2 linked regions of the Caenorhabditis elegans genome follow. The protein of the gene in region 1 interacts with the protein of each later gene in a biochemical or structural test. Each region holds a gene or a part of one and is shown on either strand. Other genes may lie near its edges.

Region 1 (4,633 bases):
TAGAAAGTGTAAATTTAGAGCTTAGCCATGATTTTCAAAATTTCAAATTTGGGGTGTTTTTGGCTCAGGTGGGAAGAGGGACAAATTATAAAAAACGGTCGCGGGTTCAAACCCCCGCTCAGGCCGATAGTTTTTATTTTGTTTGAACAATATTTTAAATCAATTTTCAAGTTATAAAAGTAAGTTTCAGTTTGGAAATTTTCAAATTTGGAATTTTCATCCGAAAAACTCGGATTTTTTTTTAGGTTTCTACTTAATTCAGGCGACATTTCCTTTTTTGAAATGTGAGCAGAACCCCTTAAAATGTGCATTACTCCACTAAAAAACCGGTTTTGTTTTTCAGATTTCTCTTGCCGCGCCGTTTTCATGCAAATTGGCAGAAATAATTGGATCACTCGTTGGTTGGGGGAGCACGGAAGAAGGCTTAAAGCACAGATTTTAAATTCCGAAATTTTTGAAGGATACGTCATCTAATTATCCAGCTCACACTCACACACCCACTTGAAAATTTATATATATATATAAATAAAAAGATTTTGCTCGAAAATTTGAAATTTCCGTTTTATTACGAATTCTTTTCATTGCGCCTTTTCCGGTTTTTAATTAGGTGTATTATTATACTAGGATTACTGTAAAAAAGGGTGGGGTTGAGATTTGGAGCAGGAAAAAATTTGAAAAAAAAAATTCCATAAACATTTTTTTTTTTGAAATTTGTTTTCATTTTTTGCATTTATATTAGAAGTGGCAAATCTAATTCTTTTTTTAGATTTTCTTTTTTTAGAAAAAAATTTTAAAGCATACACCCTTATATTTCACTGTTTTACAAATTTAAAAATTAAAAAAAAAACTTCTGGAAAAATTTCAAAAAAAATTTTTTTTTTCGAAATAAAAAAAAAAATTTTGAAATTTTTTCGGCATATATAGACGTGAAAAATCTATTTTGTTTTTTTTTTTTGAATTGTCTAGATTCCCGGCCAATTTACCAATTTATGGCCTAACGTTTGGTTTTCTAGGCCACCAACTTCAAATCGCTTTGTTGGGAAATGAGATACTTGTGAAACTCAAAATGAACTGAATTTCTCATAAAAAATACTATAAAACCGTATTTACATCTACACACTGTTTTGGAAAAAAAATGAAAAAAAAATTTTTTTTTTGAATATATTTTTCAAAAAAAAAAAATTTTTTTTGAAAAATTTTTCTTACACTTTTTCCTTTAAAATTCCTTTTTTTATCCGGAATATATACATTTTTAATATTTTTTTGAATTCACTAATTAATAAAACCCCGATTGGCCACTCTGTGTCATCTGAAAAGGGGGCGGAGCTCCGAGGCTGTTGTGGGCGGAGCTTAAATCATATTTCATATTTTATTAGACTCACTGTTTTTGAAAGATTTTAAAAATTATTTGTCAAAAAATTTTACCGAAAAAATTTCCAAAAAATTCCCATCTCCCGTTAGTCTTTATCAAAATTTTTGGAATTTTCGCCAAAAAATGCTCCAAATTTTTTAATAAATACTAACAGGATTTTAAGGAGAATAAATTTTTTTTTTCGAGACTTTTAACCCCGTCGGAAACCTTTTTTTTTGTAAAAATCTGAAAAATTGCAAATTTTCAGGTAAAATGAGAGTGCAAGTAGTCACACTTCTCGCGGTTTTGCTCGCCGTCTTGCAGTTCACCTCAGCAGCCGGTAACTATTATTCAGGTATGTTGAAGAGCGGAAAATTGGCTTCAATTTAAGTCAAAAATTGGCGGGAAATGTTGATTTTGAAAAAAATTACAAGAGTTTGAAAATTTTGAGGCAAAATTTTTTTTGGGCTGGACAAATTTTTTTATTTTTTTTTGAAATTTTTTTTTAAAAACTAAAAAAAATTTTGTTATTGCTTCATTTTAGTGTATATACCTCGTTTAAATGCAAAATAACCTTAAGTATTAATTTTTCAGAAAAAATTAAAAAAAAAAAGTTTTGAAAATTTTGACAAATTTTTAAAATATATGTTCAGATTTATGAAAATTTATAGAAAATGTGGTAAAAATTAAAAAAAAATACAAAAATAGAAATATTTCAGTTCCAGATTTCAAAAAAACATTTTTTTTTAATATTGAAAGTACAAAAATACGACAGTTTGAAAAATCAAATTTTTTTTTCAAAAATTAAATTTTCAAAACTACCGTTACCTAGCAGCTTTCGTTTTGAGACCCATAAAACTAAATTTTTCAAATTTAGCAAGTCATGGGCTTTCAAATAAGTATAATCATGACTGGATTTCAGATTTTAGTTTTTTCCAGTTTTTGGGTCTCGCAGGGAATATTTCGCGGCGTTACCCATTTTTCAGAAATTTCTGGAAATTTAGTCAAATATGTACATTTTTAGAAAGTCTGTAATACGTTGATGTTAAAATTTGGAAAAATTCCTGAAAAAATAAAGTGACGGTAGTTTTTGGACATTTTCGTGGTGAGACCCAAAATTGCAGAATTTTCCAAAATTTTTAACTTAGTCATGATTATACTTATTCGAAAGCCCTTTTCATGCTGAATTTGAAAATTTTATTCTCATGGGTCTCAACACGAAATTGGCCGGATTATGGTAGTTTTAATATGTGAGATTTTAGGAAAAAATCGAATTTTTAAGTTTTCAATATTGTTAATTCAAAATTTTTTAAAAATTTTTAAGTCAGTTTCCTTTTTACTTTTTAATAATTTATTAACTGAAAAACATGTTTTTAGATTATTTTTTTTGTCTGAAAACAAGAATTATGTCAGAAAAAATAATTTAAAATAATTACAGTCCCTGAAAGCCTGAAATTATCTAAAAATTTTGAAAAAATTTAGTGAAAATTTAAAAAGCTTATTACGGAAGTAGTTTTTACCCCAAAAAAATTCAAAAAAAATTTCAAAAAAGAAATTTCAAAAAAAAAATTCAAAAAATTTTTTTTTTTTTTGGAAATTTCCGAAAAACAATTTCAAAGCTTATTTTTTTATTCATTATGTCTGAAAAAATTATCTAAATTTCCAATTGCAGGATACCCATCTGACCGAACAATGAAACGAAGTGCTCTACTGCAACCGGAGAACAATCCAGAATGGAATCAGTTGGGATGGGCTTGGGGAAAGAGAAGCGCTGGAATGGAGGTAAAAAGCACATTAAGAAGTCGTGAAATTGTGAAATTGTAAAAATATAAAAAATTCGATGCATTTTAGTTTTTGAATTATCGAAAAATCTGGAAAATTGACTGAAATGCGGGAGTTTTAAAAATTGGATTTTTCCGCAAATTTGAAATTTCAAAATCCAGCCAATTTCGTGTTGAGATCCACGAAACTGAAATATTCAAACTCAGCATAAAAGCAGCTTTCAAATAAGTATAATCATGACTAAGTTAAAAATTTTGGAAAATTCTGCAATTTTGGGTCCCACCACGAAAATGTCAAAAAATACCGTAACTTTGTTTTTTTTTCAGGAATTTCTCTAAATTTCAACATAAACGTGTTACAAAGTTTCTAGAACAAAAAGTAAAGTTATGACTAAAATTCCAGAAAACTAAAAAATGGGTCCCGCCGCGAAATATTCCTTGCGGGAGCCAAAAACTGGAAGAAACTAAAATCTGAAATCCAGTCATAACATTTTAAAGCCCATGACTTGCTGAATAAGACAATTTAAGTTTTATGGGTCTTAGAGCGAAATCTGCAATGTTACGGTAGTTTTGAAATTTTAATTTTTGGAAAAAATTGCGATTTTAGAAACTGCTGTAACTTTTTCAGTTTTCATTATTTTTTAATGATTTAAAAACTAAAATGTTTCAAAGTGTCTCTGATATTCAATTTGTATCGGAAAACAATTTTAAAAAAATTCCAGATCCCTCACCGCGCGGCTCGAGCTCTTCACCCAGTGAAAAAGAACCCCGATTGGCAGGATTTGGGCTTTGCATGGGGCCGCAAATAAATATTTTTTCTTTAAATTTTTATTTAAAAACAATTATGTGCACTGTCGACTGTTGTGTGTGTGCTTTTTAATTTTTTTTTTACCAAAACACCAAAATTCTCGTTTTTCTCTCTTCTCCGCCCCCCTATTTTCCCTGATTTGATAAAATGGACAATGTTATATATTTTTTCCAACATACTAATTTCAACATGCAAAAATCATTTAACACTAGTGGGAGTCGAACCCCCGACCCTTTCGTCTCAACCAACCCTCTAACCACCTGAGCCACAACTCCCGAAATTTGAAAACTTGAAATTGACGGCTATGCTTCAAATTTGCCATTTCGAGGATCAAAATTTTATAAGAAATCCAAAAATTTACTTAATTTTGCTCTAGGGTCACTTTGAGCCAAGTTATGGGCTTGCGGAGCTTTCCGGGGCCCAAAATCCAAGATTTCAAAATTATCAATATGAGTGTCAAATCAGTTGCAAATTTTGTGCTGAACAAGATAAACACAATATTTTTTCGATATCTCTACTAGTTTTCGAGATATTCCAAAAAATCTTTCACAAAGTTTCAGATTTTCTTAAAAATTGTAAAAAATCAGATTTAAAACATTTGGATGCTAAAAATGTTTACTACAAAGTAAATCGATGATGCAAAAAATTTTGGCATTCACCGGGTATTGAACCCCTGACCTAGTTTCTCTCCAG
Region 2 (6,883 bases), on another chromosome or scaffold:
TTTTTCCTCAGGATCATAGTTTCTGTACAAAAAATTAGCGCTAAATGCCAGGCCTATTTGTAGGATGGTTCTTGTGGCACTTTACTGTGATTCGATTATTTATTCTATTTTTTTATCAGATTGCTCAAACATGGCATACCTCTTACAGTTTTTTGTACGAATCTGTCACAATTGAAAGACAGGCTGTTGGTTTATTCTTTGGGCTTTCAAAAGTAGCATCCCAATTCTACTTTTGAAAGCCCAAGAATTTTGTATGTAACTGTAAATTCGATCTTCTTAGAATCTTCAAAATGTTTTGTTCCCGAGCACACAGTTGACTCTTTCACCAAACGTTCAAAACCAAACGCCAACTGAGCAGTTTCCTATTTTCCGGTTAAATTCGTCTTTCCTCCAACCCCAAACTCTTGGAAAAGTTCATCGGACTGAGACGGACTACCGGAAAACGAGAGCATGTGAGTATAGGGGGAGGGTGGGGTCCGGGACAGGAAGGAAAAGCGATGAGACATCCATCCACACATACTCTTTCGTCCCTACTTCTTGCTTCTTTCCCCTCGCCTTAAACTCTCGAAAAACCCACATACTAACGAAATTGTTGACGTACTCTAATTACGCAAATATAAAGGAGTCCCCTGATTGCTAACAAGCTGCGGAGGGACCAATTTTTTTCCATTTTTTTTTCATTTTTTTTTTCACTTCAAAAAAAAAGTGGGATGAGCCAAGTCTTAATTCGATTTCCTACTTGGAAAGGGTATGACGCTGGCCGTCTTAATCTATAAAATTTGTTGTTTGTCTAAGACTGTCAATCTGTCTTCCTTTTTTTCTATTTCTTTTTTCAAAGACTAACCACCGTTAACATCATCTTTCAAGACTCTTCCAATACCTCTTACGACAATAGGCGCCGAGCGGTAGGTGGTGAAAAACGGAATGGAGAGAAAAAAAATGCATCATTCTATTCTATTGTGAGCAATATTCAGAAAGTAGGCGGGAGTTGTTCACTGGTGTTTGTTTTGTCTGCTAGAAAAGCTGAAAACGACAAGAATTTCTGAAAAAAAAAATGCATTGCGCTCCAAAATAATTCTTGATCTTCGACTTCCCCCAAATTGCCACTTCATTTTTACCTACAGTGCAAGAAAGTTGTATTGAAAATTGATGCTTATCAAAATCGGAAGAAGCCGTCTAAAACTATATTTAAAGTTTAATTATCCCTTGTTTCATTGACTTTTTATATCAAAAGTCTAGACAAACTTTATGTTGAAAACAAATTGCAATCAGTTTTTTCTTCAATTCATTACGTTTCCTTTGTTTGAACTTTTTTCGCCAATTGCTTTGTTTTTCTCTAGTTAGAGTACGGTTACATCATTAACAAATAGAATTTTGAGGCAAAAATTTGGAACAAATAGTTTTAAAAAATTTCACTAACTTTGCTTCAACGAAAATTGCAGAAATGTTTTTTTCAAATTTTCAGCTATCTCTTGCAAGATATGAGAAAACTAGTATGTATTCAAAAACCTGTTTCAAATAAAAACTAAGATGTTCTTGAATCCGCATTTGATAAATCTCCGACGTACATAGATTTAATTTCACATATTGCATTTTAAAAAACCTTCAATTGAAAACTATACAGTACTATTTTTTCTACAACTTCACCATGTTTTTTTTAACGTAGAAATTTTAGTGAAATTTTTGATCTTACATTCTCGCCAAAACAAAATGTTGTGCCTTTTTCTCAGTACTGGATTCTAAATCTGTCACTCAGCATTCCTCGCCCCATTTTCAGGTGTCTCGTTGCTATTTTTATCTCAAATGTATTTTCAACTCAAAACATTTATACATCATTTTCACTCTGCAGAATTCAAGTTGGAGCCCGAAAGTTATCAAATTGGCCACAATCAAACAATGGCGATCCATCATCCGATGTGCTACTACAACTTTACGTGCCGACCGGTGTTCATTGGCATCATGGTAGGGTCAAAAAAATTTTTATGTTTTTATTTTTTACTCCTAAGCCTAAAAACAAAGTATTTTAATTTTAGAGCAGAAAAGACTAGAAAAGAAAAGTACATACAATTTCATTTTCCCCTGTGTCCTAAGATTTATCCAGCACAACAAATTCGGTTGGAGAATTGGTAGGGAACAGAGGAACAAAAGAACTAAATTTAAAAAAAAGCCCAATCATTTTTTGTCAGTGACGCAAATAAAAAAACACACACATACATACATGCAAGAAGATTTGGCTCAATTTCAAAAGTTCATCAATTCAGGTTCCGGTTGACTGGGCCGTTCCAATGTATGGGTATATGATGCCTTTCATTGTTACACTCACGGTGGCAACAAATAGTTTTATTGTGGTTGTTCTTTCGCACAAATACCTGCGGACGCCAACAAATTACGTGCTGTTGGCAATGGCGGTGACGGAGCTGCTAACAGGGCTGTCATGTTTGCCATGGTTCACGTACTATTATACTTTATCAGGTAAGTTCTTTAAGCTGTTTGATTTAAAAATTGTTTTGTCCTAAAATCACAAAAAAACCCGCTCACCGATTCAGGGTCTGAGCTCTCTGAGAAAGTTCATAGGAAAACCGGAAACGGAAGGACCTTTCCACTGGACTTCATATTTTTTATACACCTTGAAATTCAAAAAACAAATAAATTGTATAAATTCAAAGTATAAATTCAAAGTATTTGAGAACTGTCTATGGAATTGCAACAATTTAAATTTAAAAAAAATTATTAGGGTATTTTTCACTATTTTTTAAACGCGTCAGAAACAGTTCAGAAGGTTATAATTACCCAGTTTTTAATTTTTAGCAAAGTAGGTGAAAACTTCAAAATACGTTTAAAAAGCTTTCGAAATGTTCGCATATGTTTAAACTAGGGCTCCCATGTGGGCTCCGCAAACGCCGCTTTCACGCCGTCCGAAATTTTTATAGCGATTCGCGGAACCCAAAAAGTGTCGGACGCACAGCTAAGTTTGTACCAAATAGTGATATAAAGTATGACACTAATTGGTGCAAACTTGGCTCCGCGTCCGACAATTTTTGGGTTCCGCACGTCGCTAATAAGATTTCGGATCGCGGCGAAAATTTTACTGCTCTCAGAATTAATGAGATATTTCATTTACACATCAATTACACATCGGCCAACATTTTTCAGGATACAAAAACGATTTACAAACCGGGTTGCCCAGCTTCTGGTGTGACATGATACCCTACATGGCGGCATTTTTACCGTCAATATTTCATACAATGGCAATCTGGCTGACAGTATATCTAGCCATTCAACGATACATTTATATATGCGTTCCGTCGCTAGTTCGCAAGTTTTGCACCATTCATAGAAGTAAACAAGTAAGTTTTTTTTTTGAATTTTATAAAAATTTCTAAAAAAAAATTATTTTAATTTCAGGTTATATTTTTCATAATATCAGTTGCTACAATTATGTACACACCTGACCTCATGGCATTCCATAATAAAAGCCACGATGTGTTTGACAGCAAGAGAAATCGTAAGTTTTAATTTTGAACTACAGCTCCACGTGGTGGGTTCCAGGAACTATGAAGCTTTGCTATCGACATCGTGCTCCATTCATGTTGAAACTCGGTGATGACATTTACTACAAAGTGATGTTCACAACACAAACCGTCGCCGTTCATCTCATCCCGTCTGTGCTGCTTGTCATTTTCACATGGAAACTGGTGGGCGCCATTAGGGTGGCAGACCGCCGTCACGCCAATCTTCTCTCCAAGTATTCCACGACGACTCGTTCGACGCGACGAAAGTTCTCCGAGCTGACGAATTCGTCGGAGAACGAAAATAAAATAACTCGATTGTTCAAGCAGCGCGACAGCGTCAGTGTGGGTAACGAACCTCGTCGAGCTCATGGATTGAAGCAGGTACTTGACGAATGCATCGGATGCTGAAGAGTACTGTAATGATTTCAGAATACGCGGATGCTGGTGGTGGTGATCCTGCTATTCCTGATCACTGAAATACCAGCTGCATTAATTTTTACAATTCATGTGTTGTCAGTGTCTCTGAAGTTCAGCTTTGTAGACTATCAGTTCCTGAATATTCTACTCATAGTCAGGTAATTCTGCCTTATTAGCGATTAAAAAAGGAAAAATCGATCTGATACCAAATATGAAAAAGGTGATTCCTAATATAAAAATGCCTTAAATGTCATCTACGAGAAGAAGGAGCATGCTTCATGATTACAATAATACATTTTTTGTTTGTAGTTTGGGGCCCCCAGCTGAGTGAGGCGGCAAATGCGGGCCTCACGCCGGCCGGCTTTACGCCGACGCCCCTGTGTGTGCAATGAACTGCGAAAAGTAGTTATTTGGAGCGGCCGACACGTTCGGGGTTCCGCAGCTTGGCGTGAAATGAGTAGCTTGATGTGTGCGCAACGTAGTGCAAAGAAGTGGTTGTTTGGAAGCGGCCGACACGTTTGGGGTTCCGCGCCACACTATACATTAAGATACATGCGGTTTGAGTGACGCCGTGAGGCCGGCGCAGGCGCCGTTGCGGCCACCTCATGGGAGCCCTAAAATATTTGAAAATTCAGAAACGTCTTGATTGTGGTGTCCTACCCATTCCGCTTTGCGATCTACTGTGGAATGTCCCAACAGTTCCGAGATGTCGTACGACAAATGTTCACTGGAAAAATGCTCACTCATGCGATCCGAGATAAGGATAACTCAACAACAATGCAGCTTGTCCAAGGTGTCACTGATCACAGTGATGATAAACGGTACATTTAAAAAGCAATCCTGATCTTGACCCACCAATTATTTTGCAGTCAATCGGTTGTTTTGTGCTCGGCAAACGGAACATTGGTGTCTAGCGTTCCAGAGGAGCGGGCGAAGAAAGACAAGGTGGGTTGGCCAATAATGTTGAATCCGATTCAGAGACCGGTGACACAGCACATTCGATGTTATAATTCTGGAAAATCTGAATTCGATCATCTGTGATTCTGTGTTAAAACTGTGATAACTCTATCCGCACCCAATCTATTCAACCGATGATTTCAGGCACTCGAAACTTGTGAAATAGGCGATATGTCGTGTTAAGGTATACTAACACCGGAACTAATTGCTGTGTTGTCCGATTCTCAATTATATAGTTCACAAATGCATGTACGGTTACAGTTGAAATTGATTGTTTATCTCACTTCCGTCACGTTTTAGATGATCTTGTTTACCGACTGCAGTGATTTCTACACAACATCCCCCTTCCTTTTTCATCATCTTCTTCTTTGTGCAGTTCCATAGATCCATACACTCGTTTAGTCACTCTCACGCAATTTTGTAGCCAAACTTTAATAGAGGCCGCATTTTTTTTATTTTTCGAGTTATTTTTAGCTGCAAATCAAGTAGTTCACCTGGCAGAAATGTTCCAGTAGACAATTGTTGAATCTTTTCAGGCCGTTCAATGCAATCCTGACGTTTTCGATGAGGAGATTGAGGTTCCATTCGACCCATTCCTTGCAGATCTTGCCATTATTGTCGAAGGACACGATTCACCCAAGCGATTTAAAAACTCAGGTAATGAATATTAGTGAATTCATGCAAAGTGAATTCTATCGAATTATTTGGTAGATCTAGATCAGATTCTATCAAGATCTATCTAGATCTATCTGAATCTATCTATATCTATCTAGAACTATCTAGATCTATCTAGATCTATCTAGATCTATCTAGATCTATCTAGATCTATCTAAATTTATCTAGATCTATCTAGATCTATCTTTATCTATCTAGATCTATCTAGATCTATCTAGATCTATCTTGATCTATCTAAAACTATCTAGATCTATCTAGATCTATCTAAAACTATCTAGATCTATCTAGATCTATTCAGATTTATCTAGATCTATCTAGATCTATCTAGATCTATCTAGATCTAGATTGTAGCAAAATATGCTCGGTTGGTAAATATTCAATTTTTTTACAATTTTCTTTTTTCAGATTCCACATTTGATTGCTCAACACAATGTAGTACCGAAATGGACAATCACATGTTCATCAAGCGGAAAAGTTCACTTTTGCGGGCAGCGCTGCGAAAAAATCAACAATTATCAGCGATGATGGCTCGTGTTTCTTCTTAGTCTCACATCAAATTGGTCTCAATCGGGTTTCATTTAATTTTTCTTCAAACAATTCACATTGAATTTTTTGAATTTTTCTTTTTCTGCTCCATTCCCACCCCACACAAAAATCATTTCATTTTTTATAAATTGTACAAGTGACACTAGATATATGTACTACATATGTATGACAAAAATTGAATTTTCAATTATTATTATTATTATTAATAAAGCTTGTGTTGTCTCCACAGACAATGAATCAATGAACTCCGGCTGTATCTAGATCTAATTGAGCGTATACACCTTCTCCGGGTGGGTCGTCCAGCATATCCGCTATCATTCGTCGAGACTTTAGGAAATCAAACATTGCTCGCTCATGGAGCACAAATTGACTTTCTCTGGGATCTCCTGAAAACTAACATTAAAAAACCAAATTGAACGAATTTTTCACTTAAGGAAACTGCAAACAACAGCATAAAAACCAAATTAAAAAAATTAAAAAATATAATATAACCCACCCATCCGAAGAGCTTTGAACACTGGTGCAGACACAAAGAATACATTGATTCTTCCCCGTAGTTCTGCTGCTTTGTCTGCCATTATATTATCAAACTTTTGCAAAGCCTTGTCGATATATCGCTGCTTCAGCAAGTCACAAACCGGGATTTCGTCACTTCGGCTTCGGGCTGCTAGCTTTTTATCGCATTTTGAAATTAGAAATAATATCTGAAATTAAGACACTTTTTGGTTATTACAGTGCCGCTGACCGAGTTTTGCCTTCCGAAAATCAATTATTTA

Evidence for each region. The genes of interacting proteins can lie anywhere in the genome.
Region 2: the proteins of mihp-2 (region 1) and sprr-1 interact in a test that uses a peptide from one of them, tested with the Caenorhabditis elegans proteins (one large-scale study listed by BioGRID).

Annotation. Positions count from the first base shown.
Region 1 is NC_003283.11:18,902,153-18,906,785, forward strand, and holds mihp-2 (Neuropeptide CCHamide-1), read left to right. Parts: upstream 1-1,619; 5' UTR 1,620-1,624; coding exon 1,625-1,706; intron 1,707-3,023; coding exon 3,024-3,133; intron 3,134-3,854; coding exon 3,855-3,941; 3' UTR 3,942-4,100; downstream 4,101-4,633.
Region 2 is NC_003284.9:15,464,451-15,471,333, forward strand, and holds sprr-1 (G-protein coupled receptors family 1 profile domain-containing protein), read left to right. Parts: upstream 1-1,849; 5' UTR 1,850-1,896; coding exon 1,897-1,962; intron 1,963-2,261; coding exon 2,262-2,472; intron 2,473-3,153; coding exon 3,154-3,347; intron 3,348-3,405; coding exon 3,406-3,505; intron 3,506-3,549; coding exon 3,550-3,893; intron 3,894-3,941; coding exon 3,942-4,087; intron 4,088-4,564; coding exon 4,565-4,750; intron 4,751-4,798; coding exon 4,799-4,874; intron 4,875-5,422; coding exon 5,423-5,543; intron 5,544-5,966; coding exon 5,967-6,106; 3' UTR 6,107-6,344; downstream 6,345-6,883. Other genes in the region: exc-1 (IRG-type G domain-containing protein), read right to left, coding at 6,345-6,493, 6,604-6,811.